Linked DNA regions of Oryctolagus cuniculus. The protein of the gene in region 1 interacts with the protein of each later gene in a pairwise test. Links are inferred from orthologs where the notes say so. Each region holds a gene or a part of one and is shown on either strand. Other genes may lie near its edges.

Region 1 (5,787 bases):
GGGTTACAGTTATCAAGCAGACATATACAAAAGAGAAACAAAACAGATTCTTATACACTCTATTAGGAGAGAGCTTTCTGGAAAGTATATCCTCTTTGGGAACAGACACTAGTGCTTCATCTCTGTTCATGAAGAGCAATGGCTTCCCACTCCATTGCAGGCTGCATGCAAGAGCTCACCCAGGACAATCCTGTTCTACTCTAAGCCTCTTCCCCCCACAAGCTATCATCAGTTTGTGGTGGTTAACAAGCAGATGTCCAGCAGCATATATGAAGGAGATTTGTACTTTAAACACGATTTTGTATCACACCTTAATCTGTCCTACTGTAGGTTGTTTTGTATCAAATCAAAAACAACCGTGGGGGGCAGGCACTGTGACACGGCAGGTTCAGCCCTGCTTCAGTGACCAGCTGCCTGCTAATGCCCCTGGGAGACAGCAGATGATGGCCCCACTACTTGAGTTTCTGTCACCTGTGTTGGAGACCAAGATGGAGTTCCTAGCTCTTGCATTCAATCTGGCCTACCCCGTCCCCACCCCCAACCTCACTCCACCCCCTGTTGTGGATATTTAGGAAGACAACCAGCAAATGGAAAATCTCTGTCTTTCTCAGTCAGAAAAAGAGGCATGGCAAAGTGGTAACTGAAACTTAACTCTGATAATGTGCAGCTTATCAACTCAAATCAGCAGCTCTCAAACTTCATGTGTAGAGAGGGGATCCTTTTAGAAGCATCACCAAAGAGCTCCCGAGTCGAGAAATATGGAGACCTCAACTCCCTCCCCATTCCAAAACACTGGCTCACTACACCAAGTGGTGGTTTGTTAACTAGGCCATCACGCAGCCTTCGGCAGTTTTTCTGCGTCCTCAGCTGCCTTTCTGGAAAGATCTGAGTGCTTGTCCCTCTTGTTTTCTAGAGCACTAGCACAGGAAGGTTAGAAACGTGTGACTTTACAGTGGGGCGAGTTGTCTTTTTTTTTTTCTTCTTCTTCTTTTGGTCTTTTTCCCCCTCATTATGTTCTTTCTAATTCCAACTACAGTGGCGTGAGCTACATAGCTTTCTTAGCTGTTTGAACTGGATAAGAAGAGAGAAACACATCAAGCGTCCAAAGCCAAACGCTCTGGTTTAACTCCCCTGGGACTGGCAGGCAAGAAGTGCGGCCCCCTCCGCCTCGGTTCCCCCCGCGGGGCTCGGGACTCACAGGGTCATGCGCAAGCTCCACTTCACCTCCACGGCCTCCAGCTGGCCCCAGAAGAACCGGTCGTTGAACTGCACAAACAGGGCCTGCAAATCCGGCGTGGGGTCCACCAACTCCCAGGACGCGTCTACCAGCGACAGGGGCTCCTGGGCGCCATCGCGCTCCGCAACCTGCAAGTTCCACTCCTCCTGAAGCTGAAGTGCCAAAACCAGGTCCTCATCCATCACTGCCAGGATCCCAGTCGGGGCTCACTGGCGTTAGGCTGACTCCCGACTCAGGCCGCAGAAACGTTTCAGAGGCTTCAAGCTCCTAGGATACCGGTTCTCGGGCTGCTCTCGGGGTCGCTCTGCCAATCTCGCGAGAACTCGGGGAAAACGGAACTGAGAACAGGAACCAGAACCGAGTTTGCTCCGAACTCCGACGGCAAGATTCTAGGGCTTAAACAAGAAACTAGCCGTGACACCTCGAAACTGGAGCAGAACCCCGGGCTCGGCCCGAGGACGGTTACAGGAAGCTAGTTAACGCGTCTACGCTTCACCAGGAACTTCAAACCCAAACGTCACGCTCTGCTCATGCGCAGTACTTAAGCCTCGCCCTCTCGCCCTCTCCCCGCTTCCGCAATAACTCCTCCTGCGCGTGCGCTCTAGTTCGCGGGCAATCCTGCGCAGTCGTACGGTCTGCGCTCAGCCGCTTGCGCAGGCGCAGTGTGAGCAGCTCAGACCCGGGCGCAGGCGTACTCGTCTTGCTCGCATCTTGCTTCCTAAGCCCTGGAGCTCGGCTGGAGTTGGGTGGGTCTCGACAGCCGTGGCGACAGTGACAGCGACTGCCTGAGACCCAGACGGAAATGGCGATGGCGATGTCGGACAGTGGAGCGAGCCGCCTGCGGCGGCAGCTAGAATCAGGGAGCTTTGAGGCACGGCTGTACGTGAAGCAGCTCTCGCAGCAGTCGGACGGGGACCGGGACCTCCAGGAGCACCGGCAGCGCATCCAGGCTTTGGCGGAGGAGACAGCGCAAAACCTGAAACGCAACGTCTACCAGAACTACCGGCAGTTCATAGAGACGGCCCGCGAGATCTCCTACCTGGAGAGCGAGATGTACCAGCTCAGCCATCTCCTGACGGAACAGAAGAGCAGCCTGGAGAGCATCCCGCTCACCTTGCTGCCGGCCGCCGCCGCCGCCGCGGGGGCCGGCGCTGCCTCGGGCGGGGAGGAGGGGGCAGGTGGCGCTGGGGGCCGAGACCACCTCCGAGGCCAGGCCGGCTTTTTTCCCAGCCCCGGGGGCGCCTCGCGCGACAGTTCCGGCCCGGGCGAGGAAGGAAAGCAGCGCACTCTCACCACCCTGCTTGAAAAGGTGGAAGGCTGCAGGCACCTGCTGGAGACCCCGGGGCAGTACCTGGTGTACAACGGGGACCTGGTGGAATACGAAGCGGATCACATGGCCCAGCTGCAGCGGGTGCACGGCTTTCTCATGAACGACTGTTTGCTGGTGGCCACCTGGCTGCCCCAGCGGCGGGGGATGTATCGCTACAATGCTCTCTATCCCCTAGATGGCCTGGCCGTGGTCAATGTCAAGGACAACCCACCCATGAAGGACATGTTCAAGCTGCTGATGTTCCCCGAGAGTCGCATTTTTCAGGCAGAAAATGCCAAAATAAAACGAGAGTGGCTGGAGGTGCTGGAAGAAACCAAGAGGGCCCTCAGTGAAAAAAGACGAAGGGAACAGGAGGAAGCAGCGGCCTCTAGAGGGCCTCCCCAAGTGACCTCCAAGGCCACGAACCCGTTTGAGGATGATGAAGACGAAGAGCCAGCTGTCCCCGAGGTGGAGGAAGAGAAGGTGGACCTATCGATGGAGTGGATCCAGGAGTTACCTGAAGACCTGGATGTGTGCATTGCTCAGAGGGACTTTGAGGGGGCCGTTGACCTGCTAGATAAATTGAATCATTACCTAGAAGACAAGCCCAGCCCACCTCCTGTAAAAGAACTCAGGGCCAAGGTGGATGAGCGTGTCCGGCAGCTCACGGAGGTGCTGGTTTTTGAACTGTCCCCAGGTCGTTCCTTGCGAGGTGGGCCCAAGGCTACTCGCAGGGCGGTTTCTCAGCTAATCCGGCTTGGCCAGTGCACAAAGGCTTGCGAGCTGTTTTTGAGAAACAGAGCGGCAGCTGTGCACACGGCCATCCGTCAGCTTCGCATTGAAGGTGCCACTTTACTCTATATTCATAAGCTGTGCCATGTCTTCTTTACGTGTCTTCTCGAGACTGCCAGAGAATTTGAGACAGATTTCGCCGGCACCGACAGTGGCTGCTACTCTGCCTTTGTGGTCTGGGCGAGATCAGCCATGGGCATGTTTGTAGATGCTTTCAGCAAGCAGGTGTTTGATAGCAAGGAGAGCCTGTCCACGGCAGCAGAGTGCGTCAAGGTGGCTAAGGAGCACTGCCAGCAGCTGGGAGATATTGGACTAGACCTCACCTTCATCATCCACGCCCTTCTGGTGAAAGACATCCAGGGGGCCTTGCACAGTTACAAAGAAATCATCATTGAAGCCACCAAACATCGCAACTCGGAGGAGATGTGGAGGAGGATGAACTTGATGACTCCAGAGGCCCTGGGCAAGCTCAAAGAAGAGATGAGAAGTTGCGGGGTGAGTAACTTTGAGCAGTATACCGGGGATGACTGCTGGGTGAACCTAAGTTACACAGTGGTCGCTTTCACCAAACAGACCATGGCGTTTTTGGAAGAGGCCTTAAAGCTGTATTTCCCAGAGTTGCACATGGTACTGTTGGAGAGCCTGGTGGAAATCATTCTGGTTGCCGTCCAGCATGTGGATTATAGCCTTCGGTGCGAGCAGGATCCAGAGAAGAAGGCTTTTATCCGACAGAATGCGTCCTTCCTATATGAAACGGTGCTCCCGGTGGTGGAAAAAAGGTTTGAAGAAGGTGTGGGGAAACCTGCCAAGCAACTCCAAGACCTGAGGAACGCATCAAGACTCATGCGGGTGAATCCTGAAAGTACGACATCAGTCGTCTGAGGCTGGAGTCTGTCCATATGTGTACAGATGATAGTGCTTATAGGTTATTTATATTTATATTGTTGTATTAGCATATTCTGTATAGTCTCAAACACAGCTTACAAGTAAAAAGTGCCCTCAGAGATGCAAAACCAAAAGAAGAAAGGAAAAGAATGTAAAATTAAGCCCAAATAACAAAAAATATCAAAGTTGTTAAAACATATACTGACCTTTTAAATTATGCTAGTTCTCTAATGGGTTTATGATAGCACTACAGTTATTTCAGCTTCTCCTTTGAACCAAAATACACTTTCTCACAGTGTATCTTATTCAACACAGATAAATATGTCTACAAATACATCAGTTTACGTGTGTGTGAAAAGTTTCCTGGTTACGTTTCTTAAAGGGTGCAGTACCATGTAAAACACGCTGCCTCAGTACTTCCCCTTCTTGAAGTGTGATTGGACACTTTTTGGGGAAAAGAAAGGAGTTGGGAAAGTTGGTTTCGGAGTAAACTCTAGTCAAAAGAATTCTTTCTCCATGATCTAGCTAGCTAGCTTGGGGCCTCAGATACTCCAGTCCCTATATAGGAGGAAGCTTTTATACAGATTCAAACATTTCCAACAGAATTTGAATGGCTAATTATTTTCACTTGTTAATTAGCCGCTCCATAGTTTTCCTACTGGAGTTGGGAACGTTTACTTGGAAATCTTAAAGATTGTGATTTTTTTCAACACGTTTCTGAATTGTGTGAATTTCCAGCTGGAGCTTTTGTCTGTTATATTTATATTTAATAATAATAATAATAAAACAGGAAACTTGACAATCCTGACTGCAGCCAGTGATTTTAGCTCCCTTTTCAATGTAGGTTATTAGGGGCTGTCATCAAGCAAATGCAAAAAATTTTTCACTGAACTATTTAGATTTTAGGGACTGAGTAGCTGGGAAAGTAGAAAAAAAATCATAAGCAAATCTCAGTGGTTTCACTGAGTATGACAACTTTGAGCAGAGATTTGTTTTTGGTTTTGTATTTTTGTAACAAAGTGGAGAACCGAAGTGAGACAGTGTGCCCAAAGGAAAGGGAAGAAGAGAATCTTTTACTTAAAAAAAAAAAAAAGAACAAACAAACTCCTGGAATGCTCCATGCTGTGTTTTTCTTGTTTTATTTTTTACTTTCCTTCTTTGCTTTTGAAAGTGAATATAATGCTTACCGTAGATTGTTAGTAACGCACAAATAAAAATAAAGAAATATGAGCTTCCCAACATTTCTAAATGATTGTTTCCATTGTGTATTAATTATATGACATTCTTCATTCTTTGAGAGAAATTGTGCTTGCCAAGATTCATTTTTTTCCTAGTTGTGATTCTTGTCCTTAAGTGCCATTTGGGTGCCAATGATTTCAAAAGGTCATTTCTTTCTTCTTAAAAAAATGGTGTTAATAAGACTGTAAAAATTATGTAAAAGCTAAAGTAGATTCCAAATAGTGGCTCAAGGTTGTAAAACCCCTTGACTTGATTACTTATGCTAGACCAGCCTTTTATTTTCGTTTTGGCTGTTTAATTACAAGGTTGAAATTATTAAAATTAC
Region 2 (5,119 bases), on another chromosome or scaffold:
ATAAAGAGTAATCTAGAGGAGGTCTACTGGCAAACAGACCAGCTGATATCCTTCCATCAGCCCATGGAGATCACAGTGGTGTCAACTAAAGCAGCTGTGGTGACAGATGAAAGCAGAATCAGGCCGGCGCCGTGGCTCAATAGGCTAATCCTCCGCCTTACGGCGCCGGCACACAGGGTTCTAGTCCCGGTCGGGGCGCCGGATTCTGTCCCGGTGGCCCCTCTTCCAGGCCAGCTCTCTGCTGTGGCCCGGGAGTGCAGTGGAAGATGGCCCAAGTGCTTGGGCCCTGCACCCCATGGGAGACCAGGATAAGTACCTGGCTCCTGCCTTCGGATCAGCACGGTGCGCCGGCCGCGGCGGCCATTGGAGGGTGAACCAACGGCAAAGGAAGACCTTTCTGTCTCTCTCTCTCACTATCCACTCTGCCTGTCAAAAAAAAAAAAAAAAAAAAAAAAAAAAAAAAAAAAAAAAGGCAGAATCAACACGGCATGGTGACTGAATGTGGAGGGAAACACAGGCTTTGCAGCCAGTTCAAATCTGGGTCTGATTTCCACTTGTCTCTATCTTACAACCTTGAGCATGTTGCTTGAGCCCTTTGAACAGCAGTTTCTTCATCTGTGCAGCAGTAACAGCACCAGTGCCTTGAAAGGGTACGATTAAGTATTAAGGGAGCTGACATGCTCTCAAAGTGACTGGCTCTTAGTATCATTTTGTTAGTTTACCTTCCCTGTGGCTTTTATTTATTTATACGCTTATCCTCACTGAGGGATCCTTGAAGACGAGGACCACATTCATCCACACCTTGTATGTAACAGTGGGTGATAAGAAGTCGTGGGAAGCTATCAAAGTGGTGGTAAGAAAAGCCTACTTTAAGGTCCCTGCATCGTGGCACAGCAGGTTAAGCTGCCACCTGCAACACAGGCATCCCATATGAGTTCTGCTTCGAGTGCTGGCTGCTCTGCTTCTGATCCAGTTCCCTAATGCACCTGAGAAAGCAGACGATGGCCCAAATGCTTAGATGGAGATCTGCCCTCCTGGCTTCAGCCTGGCCCAGGACTGGCTATTACACTCATTTGAGAAGTGAACCAGCAGCAGGTAGAAGATCTCTGAAGCTCTGCCTTTCAATTAAATAATTATTAATAAAGACTACAATAGTTTTCAGTTTTAATTTCAATAAACTGAGGCTATCAGCAGCTATTTGGAACCTAGTCTCATTTTTCTAGCACTCTATTTTAGAAAGTCGCATGATGTGTGAGACAAGAACAAGCTTAAGCAAGAACTATAAAGTCGGGACCACACTTCATTCCTTGTCATATCCATCAGAACAATGTTTTACCCACAAAAGGTATTCAACGGAAATTTGGCGATGAAATGAACTGGAATTTCCTTACTCGCCTGCAAAGGTACACCACGGGCGCCACCTTCCCTCGGCTTACCTGTCTGCAGTCGCAAGTGAGCCTCAATATTCTGTAGTCGTTCTTCTACAGCCTGATTACCACAGTCTCGAAGCATGCTGTTAGGTTTGTGACCTGACCCTTGAATTCCTTCAGGTCTAGTCTGTGGTCCATATGTATTCACAACTCTAGAAACTAAGTAAAGAAACTTTTGAGCCTATATAAATTTGCTTTAAAAGTCTCAGCCTTGGTCAGCCCTACCATCCCACATCAAAGTACCGGGTTCAGTGTCCAGCTCCATTCCTGACTCTAGCTTCCCGCTAATTCAGACTCAGGGAGGCAGCAGTTCACGCCACCCATGTGGGACAACTAGACCGAGTTTACAGCTCCCAGTTCCGGCCCCAGCCAGAGCCTACTGCAGGCATCAGGAGGACAAACCATAGACAAGAGCTCTGTTTCTCAAATAAATTTAAATAAATAAATAACCATCCAGAAATTCCTTCCCTAATAGTACTTTAGGCAAGACCTCTTGTTTTGTGTTGAAAATAAAATTTAGATATGGAAGTTATTTCTATTCCATTTTGCTAAAAGTCTAGAATAAGCTTCTGTCAGTGACAAAGTTACTACACAAGGATCACTTACCCTTTACGTGACTTTTAAATCCAGGGTAAGGGGTGAAAACAGCATCAGTTCTGGCACAACTATTTTCTAGAGGAGTTCAAATGAATAGAAGTTTAAATATATTCTTAACTTCAAATGCATAAATTGTGATACTTGTTAACATAATATTCATGGTAAGAACATAATCTTAAATACTATATAACAAATTCTTATCATATACAGGATAGAACTTAGTGATCTTCTTTATTCTTTGAAATATATAATATCTAGTCTTGAGATTTACATATAGAAAAACCATCAACATCAAAGGGCATTAATTTTATGTAAGTTTTAATAAAAACTAATATCCCTAAAAACCATGTGGACCTTTGGAGAAAATAATTGCTGTATTACAAAGTATTTTAGGTGCCAGCGCTGTGGCGCAGGGGGTTAACACCTTGGCCTGAAGTGCTGGCATCCCCTATGGGCGCCGTTTCAAGATCTGGCTGCTCCACTTCCGATGCAGCTCTCTGCTATGGCCTGGGAAAGCAGTGAAGGATGGCCCAGGTCCTTGGGCCCCTGCACCTGCGTGGGAGACCCCAGAAGAAGCTCCTGGCTTCAGATCAGCGCAGCTCCAGCCATTGCAGCCAATTAGGGAGTGAACCATTGGATGGAAGACCTCTCTCTCCTCTCTCTATGTAACTCTGACTTTCAAATAAATAAATCTTAAAAAAAATTTAATTCTACTTCATCATAGACAGAATTCATTTTTACCAAATTATCTTTTAAAAACAGCATTGTTCATACTTATAAACTGAACTTGTGAACATCTAATAAAAATGATTACACTTTTAACATCTTTTTATTTCAGAACTCCACACAAAACAGACCTTGAAATTTCAAGTATAACACATACCTTCCCACTCTACCTATATTTCCAATGCTCATTTTAAAAACTCCTAATCACAGAAGTCATCTTTCCATTCCACCTTTCAAAAAATGCCATTCTAAGAAAGATGTACTGTAAAATTCTGTTCCAATTTTTTTCCAAACTAAAGTCTAGTTTCTTTCATATTAGAAGTCAATAAATAAATTACAAAGGAGGAAAATTTAAAAGATGTTAATATATATTAGTATAAATACTATAATTATACATTATCGTATTATTAACATATAATACTACATTAATAATACCAATGATTGAAATGATAGTAAAACCATCTACTGGCACAAAATTTTCATGATTATTTCCTAAGAAATGGAAAATTAATGAGATACTAAAAAATTCTTTTCCCTATGGAATTCAACTTTACAAAACTACTCTTTGTATTTAGGTCAAATTAAGAAATTTAAATGAACACGCCAACACATTAAAACATTTATATTTTTTCAGCCTAAGTTTCCTTAATAGTTCTGCTTATAAGTGAAATTGTGGAAATAAAATTCTCAATCCACTTTTCTATCTAGAGACTAAACAGAATCATTTTCTTTTTCTTTATTCTTTTTGGAGATACTTGAAAATGTCTTAAAGGGCCATCACTTCTCCATTCTCTTTCTATCATATCATGGGGCTAAGGGTTAAAAAAAGAAGCTATCATCTATTCCACAGATATATTCCAAATATATAGATTAACTGACCCATCAGTGAGAAATTCAGCATGGTGTGAAGACAGTGAATGTAGGAGCGCTAGTCACTCTCCACAGCAATTCTTGCTAGCACTGTTTTGAGCCAGCAAGGGATTGAATGGGCCAAGGAATCCTGCTGAGCATTTCAATTCTTGTCAATTTCTATCCCCTGGTGGCTTATAATAATAGAGTTAGCAGGGAGAACAGAGGAATAACATTACTGACACATGTGCTTGCTCCCTCAACAAACCCTTTTTCATGGACTGCTGGCAGTTGGATTGTAGCACCTGAGCTTTTTGCTACTGCTGCACCTGTTTTAAAAAGTGAACAGGAAAACACCCCAAATTCAGACACAGACACACACACACACAGACACACATGAATGTGAATAATAGAAAATGCTGAATTTAGGACCCAACCTGAGCCTGCATTGTTTCATCATTAAGACAGGGAGGGAGTATACCAACGTGGTATGAGTCACTTCCAGGCTCATCTGACAAGTCTGTGTTCGTGATAATTACTCAAGATATTAAAGGCAACAAGAAAAATGTTCGTTCCAATTATGAACTCTTCTCTGTAATTTTTCCCAAGAACTACTTGTTCTGATTATTAGTGTGATGCCTGAGTATGATCTACAGCCGTGCCTTGCAGTATTCTGTATGCTGCAGCGTACCTGCAGATCCGTAAACGTACTACAGTGTCAAGTGCAGAGGACGAGAATCTGATGAACAGCAGCAAACACATGCAGGAGGAAAGAAAGAGGAAAAGCACAAGACACCACGGTCCTCGTGACAAACGGATTGTATAATGAAATGGAGCATTTCAAACAGCTCAGGAGCAATGAGAAAACTGCTCCCTCTTGAGGAATACCACTAACTTCACTAAGTTCACTTTCTGTATTAACATCCTAACTTCCTAAGCACATTTGCAGGCTTAAACTTCATATGCTCAGCTCCTTTTTCTAGTGAGACAGAACATCTCTGCCACCCACTCTTCACTCTCATTTCCTAAAGGAACTTAATCTTTTCACTTGAGCTAAATATTAGCCTTTTTATGTTAGCATTTATTTGATTGTTGTGGAACCAAAATAAAAATCAGTTTTTCAATGTAGTCTATTACTTAATAGAAGGAATTTCCACTGCTTTAGTTACTAACTGAACCTGAGAAATCTAATTGTGTTCTTAATGTTATTCATTTTTAAAAACAAATGAAACAGTAGAACAAACATAAAAATTGTGCTTAAAATCCTAGGAAAATTAATGTCTAGGTAGTTACCTTGATTACAATCAATAACATTGCAAAATTCTCTGACGTTGTTTTCATTGATTTCAGCTTGCTTCCTTTCAATAAATGCAGATATTCGTCTGTCAATCTACAAACAACAAGTATGTCTTAGCAATGTAAACATAGTACGATTTTTCAGTTACACCCCTAAACCCCAGCCCCACCCACTTCTCACTTCTGCTTTTCCAGCCTTTATTTGAACGACTTCGGGATCA
Region 3 (5,358 bases), on another chromosome or scaffold:
CAGAAAAGCCCACTCTGGGATGACCTTTCACCCCGCAGTCCCACAGGCTCTGCCCCGCCCCCCTCCACCGCCCCCAGCCTTGGGGCTAGAGCTGGACCCTGGGGCACGCGGCTGGGGGGTGAGGGGACAGCAGTGGTCCTAGACCTGCACTCCCAGTGCCGCCCCCCACCCTGGGGCGCTGGATGTCGGCGCACTGTGTAACGCTTAGAGGAAAACTGAGGCTGGGGGCTTAGGGGAGACGTGGCGTGGACTTCCCGCCAGTCACATGGCGCGGGTTCTTTCTCCCTTTCCATAAACCCTGCCGGGCGGGGGGCCTGAGTGGGCAGAGAGGACCCTTCGGCTCGTCGGCTCCTTGGGAATGGGGGGTACCGCGGGGTCCTAGGACCCTCGGCCGGACCTGCCAGGAGCCTTAGCAGGAAGCTCGAGTGCTGGGGGGGGGGTGGCAGGGAAGGGGTCTAAAGAGGGGGGTAAGAAGGCGAGGTGGGAACGGAGGGGGACCTCCGGGCTGCTGCCCCGCCCCTGTGAGGCCCGGCTGGGGAGAGGGATGGCCCGAGGCGCGACCCCGCCCCCCTGACCCCTGCCCGCGACCCCGCGGTGACACTTGACCTTGCGGCGGCCGCGGACGGGCGGGACAAAGAGCTCCTGGCGCATCTGCAGCGGGGGACGCCCGTGGGAACGGCCAGACCCCGCGGCGACAGGCCGCCCCCGCCCCCGCCCGCAGGTGACCTTGGCTCCCTCCGCCCCGCCCCCGGGCAGCCTCGTGGGAGGGAGTGCAGACGCTGGGAGATGGACCAGGGCAAGAAGGGGGCGCTGCCTCAGTTTCCCACCTACGCTCAAAGCCGACGCGGGCGCAGAGTGAGCGCTGGGGCCCCAAAAGTCACCCATCCCTGCGATCCAGGGCCCGGCTGCCCCTGACCTCAAGCCGGCCTGGCCCCTCCCACCGTGGAGAGGCCGCGGGCCCCCGCACCACCTGCACAGGTGCGGTCTGGGGCGCCCACCCCCCCAGGTAGGGGCCCACAACCTTCCTAATCCCTCCTGTCTAGGGTTACTAATCCCAGCCCCCTAGGGCCAGCCAGCCTGCTGCGGAGGGGCTGGGGGTGCGGCCTATGCAAATGACATGCTAATCAGTCGCCTGCAATTAACCTGGCAGGAACGCCTCCCGCTGCCCCCAACCTCCGCGGGAGATCTGGAAGCTCCCAGGCTGCCCAGGGCCCGGCAGGCCTGTGCCCCACCCCCTCCCCGGAAGGACACGCATCGAGAGTTCCAGACTTTTCTCTGATGCCTGCCCTCAGCCTCCACAAACCCTGATTCCTCTTCCAGCCGACCATCCACGCCTTGAACCTGAACCTGAACCCCAACCTTGGGGGCCTCCAGTTGTTCTGGATTGTTCCCTGGGAAGCAGATGGGCAGGGGACGAGTGTCCTGTCCCCAGGGGCCCGCCCTGGGTTTCTGGACAAAGAAAGGACTTGGGGACATCAGCTCGGGCTCTGCCACCTTCCCTGTCCCCTGGATTGATTGTTCCGGGTCCCGGGGGGGGGAGGGGGAGACCATGACCTTCACAGCCTGACCCCGGTGGCCCAGGCAACCGGTCCCCACCCATGAGGACACATGCACCCCAGGGCGACAAGTCACTCCAGGCCGGTTTATGACACGTGGCTGGGGGTGGAGCCTACAGCAAGGTCTCCCCAAGCTGGGGGGGAGGAGGCGGGCAGGGGCACCCGGGCTGTTCCAGCGCCCGGGCCGTGGCTTCCAGTGCTGCCAACTCCTCCGCCTGCCGGGCCTCCAGGATTGCCACCTGCTCCTCCAACTTGCGCCGCTGCTCCTCCTGCTTCCGGTGGGCGCCTCTGAACGCCAGGACCAGGGCACTGCAGGGTGTGGGTGGCTGAGCCGGGGAACAGCGCCCCACCCCAGAGAACAGCACCCCCACCCCACCCAGGGCTGCGGCGGGGGCGGGGCGGGGCGCCGCGGGGGCGGGGCTACGTCCTAGCTGGCTCCGGGCATCCTGCAGGAAAGGCGTGGCCTGCACTGCACCCGCTCACTATCTTCCAAGTGGGGGGAACGAGGCCCAGGGACACACCCGCGGTCAGCAGGGGTGGGCTGCGGGGGGCGGCGGCCCACCTGTGCGCCTTGCATAGATCGCTGTTCAGCTCGGCGCTCTGAGCCCGCCGGACGCGCCCCTTCTGAGCCACCTGCTCCAGCTCCCGCCACAGAGCCCGCAGCTGAGCGCGAAGATCCGCGGCCCTGGCGCGGGAGTGGAGACAGCGGGGCTCCGGCCGCGGCCCGACCCGGTCCTCCTCTCCGCTCCCCACGCCCCTGCGCGCAGGCGCACGCTGCCACACCACACACACACACACACACACACACACACACACACGTCCCCACCCCCGCCTCCTCCGCAGAACCCACCCAGGCACACACCTGGCGAGCGAAGCGGCCAGCTCCTGGGCTAACCTCTCCGGGTCCCACGCCCTGCCCACCTGGCCTCCCTCGGTGGCGTTGGGGACAGCAGGAGGACCCTGTAGGAGACAGAAGGGAGGGAGGTGACCTCTGTCTAGAAGTGCTCAGCCCAGCCTGGGCATAGAAGCTGGCCTGGGGGGGGGGCAGCCAGAGCCCCTCGCTTCCCAGAGCCCCCATTCTGCTAAGAGACCCTCAAGTCCCTGATAAGGGAGATAAGTCACAGGGCCGGGGTGGGGTGGGGTGCCGAATATTGCTCCTTTGAGGGCAACCCAGGAGGGCTTCCTGGAGACGGTGGACATTCCTGGTGGCAGCACCGGCTTGCAGGTGGGAGGGGTGATGCGAAGAGCCCCGTTTAGAAGCCTGGGGCAGGGGCGGTGTGGTGGCACCGCGGGGCGGGCTGCTGCCTGGGACAGCCGTGGCCGTATCAGAGTGTTGGTGGCGTCCCAGCTGATCTGCGTGCGCCCCAGCTCCCTGCGCATGCGCCCCCTGGGAGGCAGGGGCCCACGACTCCAGGGCTTGGGTCCTGCCGCCCACGTGGGAGACCCGGATGGAGCTCCCGGCTCCTGGCCCAGACCCGGCCTTTGCAGCCATGTGGGGAGTGAACCGGCAGATGGAAGACCTCTCTCCCTCTCTCTCTCTCATCCACTGAACCCCTAGGGGCCAAGGGCAGCGACCCCCGAAGGGCCGCTCACCTGGGGCCGCTCCTCCTCCTCCTCCTCGCTGCTGCCCGCCCCGCTGCTGTCCCCCGCGCCGCTGTGGGGCCCCGCGGCTCCCAGCTGCGCGCGCTCCCACTGTAGCTGCTCCAGCAGGAGTGCGTGGGCGGGGCCCTGGGCGCGCAGCGCCGCCTCCCGCAGCTCCAGGCCCCGCTTCTCCCGCCGCACCAGCTGCAGCTGCAACATCAGGTCCGCCAGGGTCTCCTGAGGGGTCGGGGAGGGGAAACTGAGGCTGGCGAGCACGTTTGGGAAAAACTGGATTGAGAGGTCTGTGAGTAACAAAACTCCTATTCATCCCTCAAAACCCCAGCTTCAATTCTCCCTCCAGGAAGCCCTTCCCAGCCCAGCAGAACCTTTCCCCCTCCCCATCCCAACCACACCTCTGTCGGTTCTGACCCCCCCCCCCCAGGGACCACAGCCCCTGTGTACCCGTGTGGCCACCAGTTCCCTCTGTATCTCCATCTTCTCCAACCGCGGCAGGGCCGGGCCGGGCTGGGCTTCCAGCATGGCCTGCACCATGGCTTCTGCGTGGGGCATGGTGGGCGTGGGCTCCACGGTGGGGCCCGGCTCTGGGGGGGTCTTCACCAGAGCCTGGCGCTGCCGCAGACGCCGGGCATAGCCCTGCAGCAGGGCGGCCACTTCCTGCGGTGTGGGTTTATCCACACTGCTGCCCTCGGGGCTGCGGGAGGAGAGGAGGAGTGGGTGCCGCAGGCCATCACGGAGGCCAGCCCCGGGGAGCCCCAAGGCCCAGCGCGGTCCCCGGGCGCCTACCTTGGCTGTGCCTTCCGCGGTGCCGCGGCGTCTGCGCCGCCCTCCTCCTGTGCCAGCAGCCGCCACGCCTCCCTCTCAGTGGCCTCCAAGTCCCGCGCTCCGGAGCTGGCCTCGTGCAGGGCCAGGAGAGCCGCGCACACGGCCTCACGGTGCTCACTGCGGGACGGGGGTCCTGAGCGCCCTCCCACGCCGTGGCTCGCGGCCCCTCCCCCGCGGGGACCTCTCCCCTGACCTGTCCTGCAGCGCCAGCCGCAGGGCTGTAGCCTCGGCTTCCCGCTGGCTCAGCCGCATGCTGAGGCTCTCACACCGGCCCTTGCGCCCTTGCAGCACGGCCAGTAGCAGCCGGTTGAAGCATTTGAGCTTCTCGATGTTTCTGTCTCGGGGTGGGGGAGGGAGAGGGAAAACGAGGGGACTCTTTGGAGGGGGGGAGCAGCCAGGGGCCAGTTTCCACCCCGCTCCTACCCCGTTTAGACGCCCATCCCCGGGGCTTAGACGCCCATCCCCGGGGCGGCAGGACAGCGGCCGGTGCCCTTAAAAGCTCAGCAGTGGTGGCGCTCACCCGCGGAGCTGTTCCATCTGGGCCTCCAGGATCTGCATCTCGGGGGCCAGGGGTCGCGAGGGGAGAGAGCCCAGGATGTGCACACTGGAGTCACTCCGGATGCGCCGGAGCAGCGGGTGAGCCAGGGAGAGGGAGTCCTGCAGGGAGGACGTGTGCCCTGAGCCAGCCAGATGGCCACCGAGAACCCAGGGCCATGCAACCCCCCAGAGCCAGGATCCGGGTCTCCCCTGCCTGGATGCTGCGGGTTGCGCCTCTCGCACTCACCTGACCCCCCCAGGGCTCCCCATCCGCCCCAGAACTGCTAGAACCACTCCCTGAGCCTCCAGCGTGGCTGTGGGTGCGCGGAGACAGGGGCTCCAGCCTCATCAGAGCATCCTGTAGCTCCTGGACCTGCGAGGGGTGAGGACAATGCCGGGTTGGCCGCGGGTGGGGGAGGGGAGGTTTCAGGCTTGGGGGCTCCACCCACGCACCAGCCATGCCCAAAGCCACTTCTGGGGTGGTGAGGAGAGCCCCAAATCTCCAGGGCCCCGCCCTCTCCTCTAAGGACACGGGCCAAGCGCCTGCCCCTGCGTTCTGGTCTTTATTCCGCTGTCGCCTTCACGGAGGCTGTGAGGGACCCGCGTCTGATGGGCGCCCTAGGCCAGGGCTCCCTAGAGGTTTGTCGAATGACTAACGGAGCGTGCGTCCCGCGCTGCACTTGCCTCCGCGGCCCCGCTCACCTCTCTCTGCAGCGTCTCCTTGTCGGCCTCGAGGGCCCGCAGGGCGGCCCGCGTGTGGCCCAGCTCGTCCTCGCGGCTCTGCAGGGCCAGCCGCAGCCAGGCGTTCTTCTCGGCCAGCCGCGCCGCCTCCCGCGCGCCG
Region 4 (5,119 bases), on another chromosome or scaffold:
CTGTCCCAGAAGCTGGAAAGGGCGCCCAGAACAGCTCCGCTAGAACCCCAGCTCCAGGCTTAGCCAGAGAAGCCGCTAAAACAGATGGCCTTGCTGAGGCTGTCCCTGGAGCTAAGTCAGGCCTCTGCCTGTCTGCAGGAGGCTGTGGGACCTTGAATTAAAGGCGTTTGCAGCCTCTGGCGGCCAGATGGTGGCCCCTGCCCCCACAGCCTTGTGCTCTTCCCAGCACCAGATCAAATGCAGAGACACCTTCTATTCTGAGCCCGGAGAGAGGGCCTCGGGCTGCAGGGAAATGCTGCAGTATTTCTGTGTATGTCCTCCACAGCTGCAGTTCCGTAATAAAATGTGTGCTCCTGGTTTGCACTCAGTTCTTGCACTTTATTTCTGTGGCTCCTCTCAGCTCTAGGACAGCCCTGCCTTTGGAGAGGACTCAGGCACAGAGCCACAAGTCCTCACCTTTCTTGTCTCAAGGGGACCGAGAACCTGCTTCCCTAAGACTCCCAGTCATCTTCGTCGTCCTCTCCCGCTGGCTGCTGGGGAGGAGGCAGAGGAGGAATGGAATCAGACATTCGGGCGAAGGCTCCTCCAGGCCCCTCGCTGGCCCCTGTCCCAGGTCCTTTCCCAGATATGCCTGCAAGGGAAAAGGCTGAGTGAGGGAGGTGGGCCGGGGCCCCCATTCTCAGCCCCTGGGAACTTAGGGGAGGACCGTGTAGGATGCAAGTATCCCCTGCCCAAGGCCTCTGACCTTTGCGTCTCATGACCAGCTTGTTAAAGAGATCCGACATCAGGTCCCCACTCTGGCTCGTGGCTCTCACTGCAACAGAAAAGCCACAGTGAGGGAGGTGGAGGAGCCAGGCAGGAAGTCCCTGGCTTAGCTGCACTCGGCCCCACCCACCACCACCTGTTGACCACCTGCTCTCGGTGCCTCTGTGCAGACCCAGCAGTGTTAGAGTTGCATCAGTGTGAGCAGCCCTGCAGGAAACCTGGCCAGAGAGCTTAGGTGTGAGCTCGGGGCCGTTGACCACAGGGGCTCTGCTGCTCTCTGCCCAGGTCTCCATCCCATCAACTGCAGCCTCAGAGGGCTTTCAGGACTTGGACTGAGCTCCCCCTCAGGTGCTGCCTCAGGGTATCCCTGGGCCAGGGGTACTCACGACGAGTCCCCTTAGAGAGGAAAGCTAAGCTCAAGCTTTGTCTGTCTTGTAGGTGCCCAACCTGGGGGGAAGCCCACTGTGCAGGCAGAGCGGAGGTGGATGTCGGGGCGGCCCCTCCCCTGAGGGGGCCCCTCACCTTGCTCCCGCTCCTTCTGTTTCTTCTTCTCCAGCTTGCGCTCCTTGACGCTGCGCAGCTTGGCCTTGCCGATGCCGCCGGCTTGGCGGATGGACTCCAGCAGGGTGGCCCGGCCGCTGGAGGGGTCGACCACTTCTTTGGGAGCTCCCTGGACTGCCGCTGGGAGGGGGGAAGGCTGTTCAGGCAGGGACTCGGGCCGGCTGAAGGTGAAGCCCGGTGCGCACGGCGGCCTGGGTGTTCCTGTCCCCAGCTGCCCGAGCACCAGGGCCTAGATGCAGCCCTCCTAGTTCTCCCACTGCAAAGGCGAATGCTGAGATTCCTGATGGGCTGACAGGGTCTCAGCAGTGCCCCACGAACCAGCGAGGGACTTCTGTGTGCCTTGTGGATGGGGCCATGCACCAGGAGCTAGAACATCACAACTGAAGTTTGTGACCTCACATTTTAAATAACCCCCTTTCCCCATTGGTGGGAATGGGGGGCCCAGGCTCCCCCTCCTGGGGTTAGAATTCCGGAGCTCTCTAGGACACTTGAAAAACAGGGTTTTATGAACCCACTGAATAAAACATTTGAAAGGAGAGCTGTTCCGAACATGCAGAATTCGCAGAATTCACAGTCCCTTGAACCTACAGGTGCCTCAGAGTGTGTGTGTGCCCTGGCCCCTGCCCAGTGCTGCTCCTACCTGGAGGCCCACTGCTGCCGCTGTCATCTACCCTGGCACCTTGGCCGGTGGAGGCCACTGTCTGGGGAGGTGGTGGTGGGGCACTGACCAGAACCGCAGGTGCTGGGGGAGGTGGCGGGGGTGGAGGGGGTGGTGGGGGTGCTGTGAGCACCCCATCCTCCAGGTCTGAAAGAGAAGGTTGGGAACACGTGAGGCCCTCGAGAAGGAGGCTGCGGGGCCAGGGAGTCCCCCGGAGCTCCCAGCTCACCTGGCTTGAAAGGCTCCACCACCTCCGTGTGGAAGGTGGGCAGCTCTGGAATGGCGCCGGGGGCCGAGGGGGCAATGCCGGGGCCCAGGTCGGCGCTGTACATGAGGTCATCAGCGATGCCGGGCAGGTCCGGCAGGTAGGAAGGCACATCGATCTCGGGCACCTGGCCCAGGTCTGGCACGTAGAAGTAGTTCTCTGGAACCTGTAGGGTCAGTGAGGTGCATGAGCGGCCAACGGGGCTGCAGGCCACATCGTGACCCTGGGGCAGAGGGGAGGTCGCCTTGTGCCAGCACACAGCTGGGTGGGATTATGGCTCCTTGCAGGGACCCCACCACCTGCCTCTCCCCCGCCCCTTGCCACCTGTCGCTCTAGCTGTTCTCTCTTGCTGATGGACAATGGCGCATCGAATAGCTTCTCCCCTGTCTCTGCCCCCAGCATCACATGGGTCTTGGTCACAGCACCGGCCAGCGGGTCAAGGAAGACGTACTTCTTGTACCTGTGGGAGGAGGGGTGTCAGGCCAGCAGCACCTTCCCTTCTAGGGCTGCATTCCTGACCACGGTGGCTTCCCAAGCCTCACAGGCCGGAGGAAAGCGCTCGGCTCCTGCTGCCCCTGTAGGCCCGGCCAGTCCACCCAGCCTCTCCGCACAGCCCCGCCACCTGGCCGTACAGGTTCTCGGTGGTGTTGAAGAGCAGCAAGGAGCTGACGGAGCTGATGTTGCTGGGAAGGCCCCCAAGCCCCTCCTCGGCTTCATCCTCAGGTCCGGGCTTGGTGCTCACACACACGGGGAAGTATTTCAGCTTCTCCTGGGGGCGGCCAGAGGGTAGATGGAGATTTCAGCTCTGGGTCCTGTGGACCCCACCCCATCCCCGCATCCTCTCCAGGGACAACTCTCTGTCCAGTGGGCCCGCAGCCTCCCTGCCCAGGGTATGTGGCCATGACACCTGCAGGGCCCGCTCATCCAGGGGGCGGTGCTTGCTCTGGATCCTGTGGCGGGGCCGCCCCTGCAGGCCGGGGTCCTGGGCGCCCGAGAAGATGGAGCCGTATTCCTGCAGCCGCTCGGGAGCTGGGTACTTGGCACTGGAGAACACCTGTGGACACAGGGACACATCTGGGGCCTGAGGGGCTCCAGAGAGCCAAGGGTGGCTGGTAGTGTGGGAGTGGGTACTGGGATGCCGCAAGGAGGGAAACCTGACGTGTGGCAGGACAGCAGGAGTGCGGGAGATGGAGGAACTGCCTGTCCACCACAGAACCCAGGGGTGCACAGACTACCTTGATGGCCTTCTTGCTGCCCTTGATCTTCTCAATCTTGGCCTGGGCCAAGGAGACCCTCTGCCCGATGGCCTGCAGCTGGCTCCGGCTCAGCTCCACTCGCTGGGAGATCCTGCCAAGGGTAAGGTCACAAAGGCTGGGGACTGCACCCAAGCCCTCATTCTCCTGTCTCTCCTGCTGCTAACAGCCGACTTGTAAGGCCAGGGCGGGGCCAGGTCTCTCAAAACGTTATCTGTTTGGCCTGTTGTAGAGCTTCTGGGGGACGCTACCAGGATTCTCCAAGCACAGAGGCCTGGGAATGAACTGTACTAGTTTCCCTGGGGCCCTGCCTCCTGCCCCAGGAGTGTCCAGTCTCAGGCAGGGGTGTGCAGGACAGCCGCAATTACACATTCACATACAGCTGCTGGCAGGTGGCAAGCGCTGTCACAGGCCCCTACAACCCAGCTGAGGCAGACCGCGGCAGACCCCCGAGTTCAGTGGGGCTAAGTGACCAGCAAGGCTGGCCCCTACGCATAATGAACGGTTCTGCAGAGGCAATCCAGGCCCTGGTCACGGCTTCCCTGGCTCTTGGTGGTCTGGCTCCTCACCTGCTTCCACTGTGCCCTGGACACCAACTGCCTGGCCACCCCTGAACATGCCAAGCACGCTTGTCTGTGGCCTTAGCAACTTGAACATTTCCTGCAGACACCCACACAGCTGGCTGCTTCACCTAAGTCCCCTCCTCACAAGCCTACCTGACCATGGTCTCCCAACGTGCACCTGCCACGTTCCCCACCCCCGACCCAGTGGGGCCTGACGCACCTCCAGCCTGCGTGTGCTGCAGGCGTCAGGGCTGGGTTTTGTTCCCTGCTCCATTCTCTGGGACGGGGCCCGGCACCTGGCAGGGGCTCGCTGTACAGTGACTACACTACTGAGCCCCATGCCTCACCCTTCATGTATGGAAGCCTCACTCGGGCTTCCCACGACGTTTTACCCACTGCAAAGGTAACCGTGACTCACACCTGCCACGATTCCCCTCTTGGTTGCCCCTCCAGCTCCTGTCTCCGGGAGCACCAGCCCCTGCCACTCCCACCAGGGCCCCCATTCAGAGCAGGCATCACTAAGGTTCACCTGGTCAGAGCAAGCGCATGTCCATGGGGCAGGAGAGACAAGGAGGCAGAGAGCAAGTGTCACCCAGAGGGAAAGGTGGGAGGGCAGAGGGGCCCCTCCATCCCTGGGGCCAGGGAATCCCAGGATTTCTCCATAGGTTGACAGTGACATGCAGGAATCTGGCCGAAACTTCCAGCACCCTATGGAGTCGGTCCTGATGGAGTGGTGGGACTGGGGCACAGGCAGGTGCCAGAGCGGCCTAGTTCTCCCTGACAGGTGGGAGGCTGGCAGTACCCCAGGGAGGGAAAAGGAGGGGCCCTTCCTCCCGGTCAGAGAAGCGGAACTCGGGCCAGGGTGGGAGGGGGTCCTGTTTTAGCTCTTGTCATCCTGCGCTGGGGGTGGAAGTGTTAGGTAGGAAGTTAGGAATCAGCCTGTGTGTGAGAGGGGCCTGGGCATCTGCGGAGGCTCACTTTGGAAGCAGCCCAGTATTTACACTTGAGTCCTGCCCGGACCCTGTAACCTTCCAGGTGGTCCCAGGTAACAGCA

What was found.
Region 2: the proteins of EXOC8 (region 1) and MBIP interact in binary tests that used the Homo sapiens proteins (3 or more experiments, as listed by UniProt). The two-hybrid records come from large-scale screens. The link is inferred for Oryctolagus cuniculus from reciprocal best matches to the Homo sapiens genes EXOC8 and MBIP.
Region 3: the proteins of EXOC8 (region 1) and USHBP1 interact in binary tests that used the Homo sapiens proteins (3 or more experiments, as listed by UniProt). The two-hybrid records come from large-scale screens. The link is inferred for Oryctolagus cuniculus from reciprocal best matches to the Homo sapiens genes EXOC8 and USHBP1.
Region 4: the proteins of EXOC8 (region 1) and WASHC1 interact in binary tests that used the Homo sapiens proteins (3 or more experiments, as listed by UniProt). The link is inferred for Oryctolagus cuniculus from reciprocal best matches to the Homo sapiens genes EXOC8 and WASHC1.

What each region holds. Positions count from the first base shown.
Region 1 is NC_091444.1:50,851,779-50,857,565, reverse strand, and holds the start of EXOC8 (exocyst complex component 8), read left to right. Parts: upstream 1-1,895; 5' UTR 1,896-2,039; coding exon 2,040-4,220; 3' UTR 4,221-5,787. Other genes in the region: DNA-dependent metalloprotease SPRTN, read right to left, coding at 1,199-1,419. UniProt on the Homo sapiens protein: Component of the exocyst complex involved in the docking of exocytic vesicles with fusion sites on the plasma membrane.
Region 2 is NC_091443.1:39,329,929-39,335,047, reverse strand, and holds part of MBIP (MAP3K12-binding inhibitory protein 1), read right to left. Parts: coding exon 5,080-5,119; intron 4,993-5,079; coding exon 4,896-4,992; intron 2,103-4,895; coding exon 2,037-2,102; intron 1,590-2,036; coding exon 1,437-1,589; intron 1-1,436. UniProt on the Homo sapiens protein: Inhibits the MAP3K12 activity to induce the activation of the JNK/SAPK pathway. Component of the ATAC complex, a complex with histone acetyltransferase activity on histones H3 and H4.
Region 3 is NC_091447.1:65,253,370-65,258,727, forward strand, and holds the end of USHBP1 (harmonin-binding protein USHBP1), read right to left. Parts: coding exon 5,220-5,358; intron 4,891-5,219; coding exon 4,765-4,890; intron 4,638-4,764; coding exon 4,501-4,637; intron 4,315-4,500; coding exon 4,174-4,314; intron 4,098-4,173; coding exon 3,942-4,097; intron 3,850-3,941; coding exon 3,600-3,849; intron 3,375-3,599; coding exon 3,150-3,374; intron 2,517-3,149; coding exon 2,419-2,516; intron 2,242-2,418; coding exon 2,119-2,241; intron 1,866-2,118; coding exon 1,670-1,865; 3' UTR 1,623-1,669; downstream 1-1,622.
Region 4 is NC_091440.1:106,627,387-106,632,505, forward strand, and holds the end of WASHC1 (WASH complex subunit 1), read right to left. Parts: intron 3,597-5,119; coding exon 3,485-3,596; intron 3,304-3,484; coding exon 3,157-3,303; intron 3,019-3,156; coding exon 2,882-3,018; intron 2,710-2,881; coding exon 2,574-2,709; intron 2,416-2,573; coding exon 2,214-2,415; intron 2,132-2,213; coding exon 1,967-2,131; intron 1,447-1,966; coding exon 1,288-1,446; intron 815-1,287; coding exon 746-814; intron 632-745; coding exon 492-631; 3' UTR 358-491; downstream 1-357. Other genes in the region: ATP-dependent DNA helicase DDX11, read left to right, coding at 1-43. UniProt on the Homo sapiens protein: Acts as a component of the WASH core complex that functions as a nucleation-promoting factor (NPF) at the surface of endosomes, where it recruits and activates the Arp2/3 complex to induce actin polymerization, playing a key role in the fission of tubules that serve as transport intermediates during endosome sorting.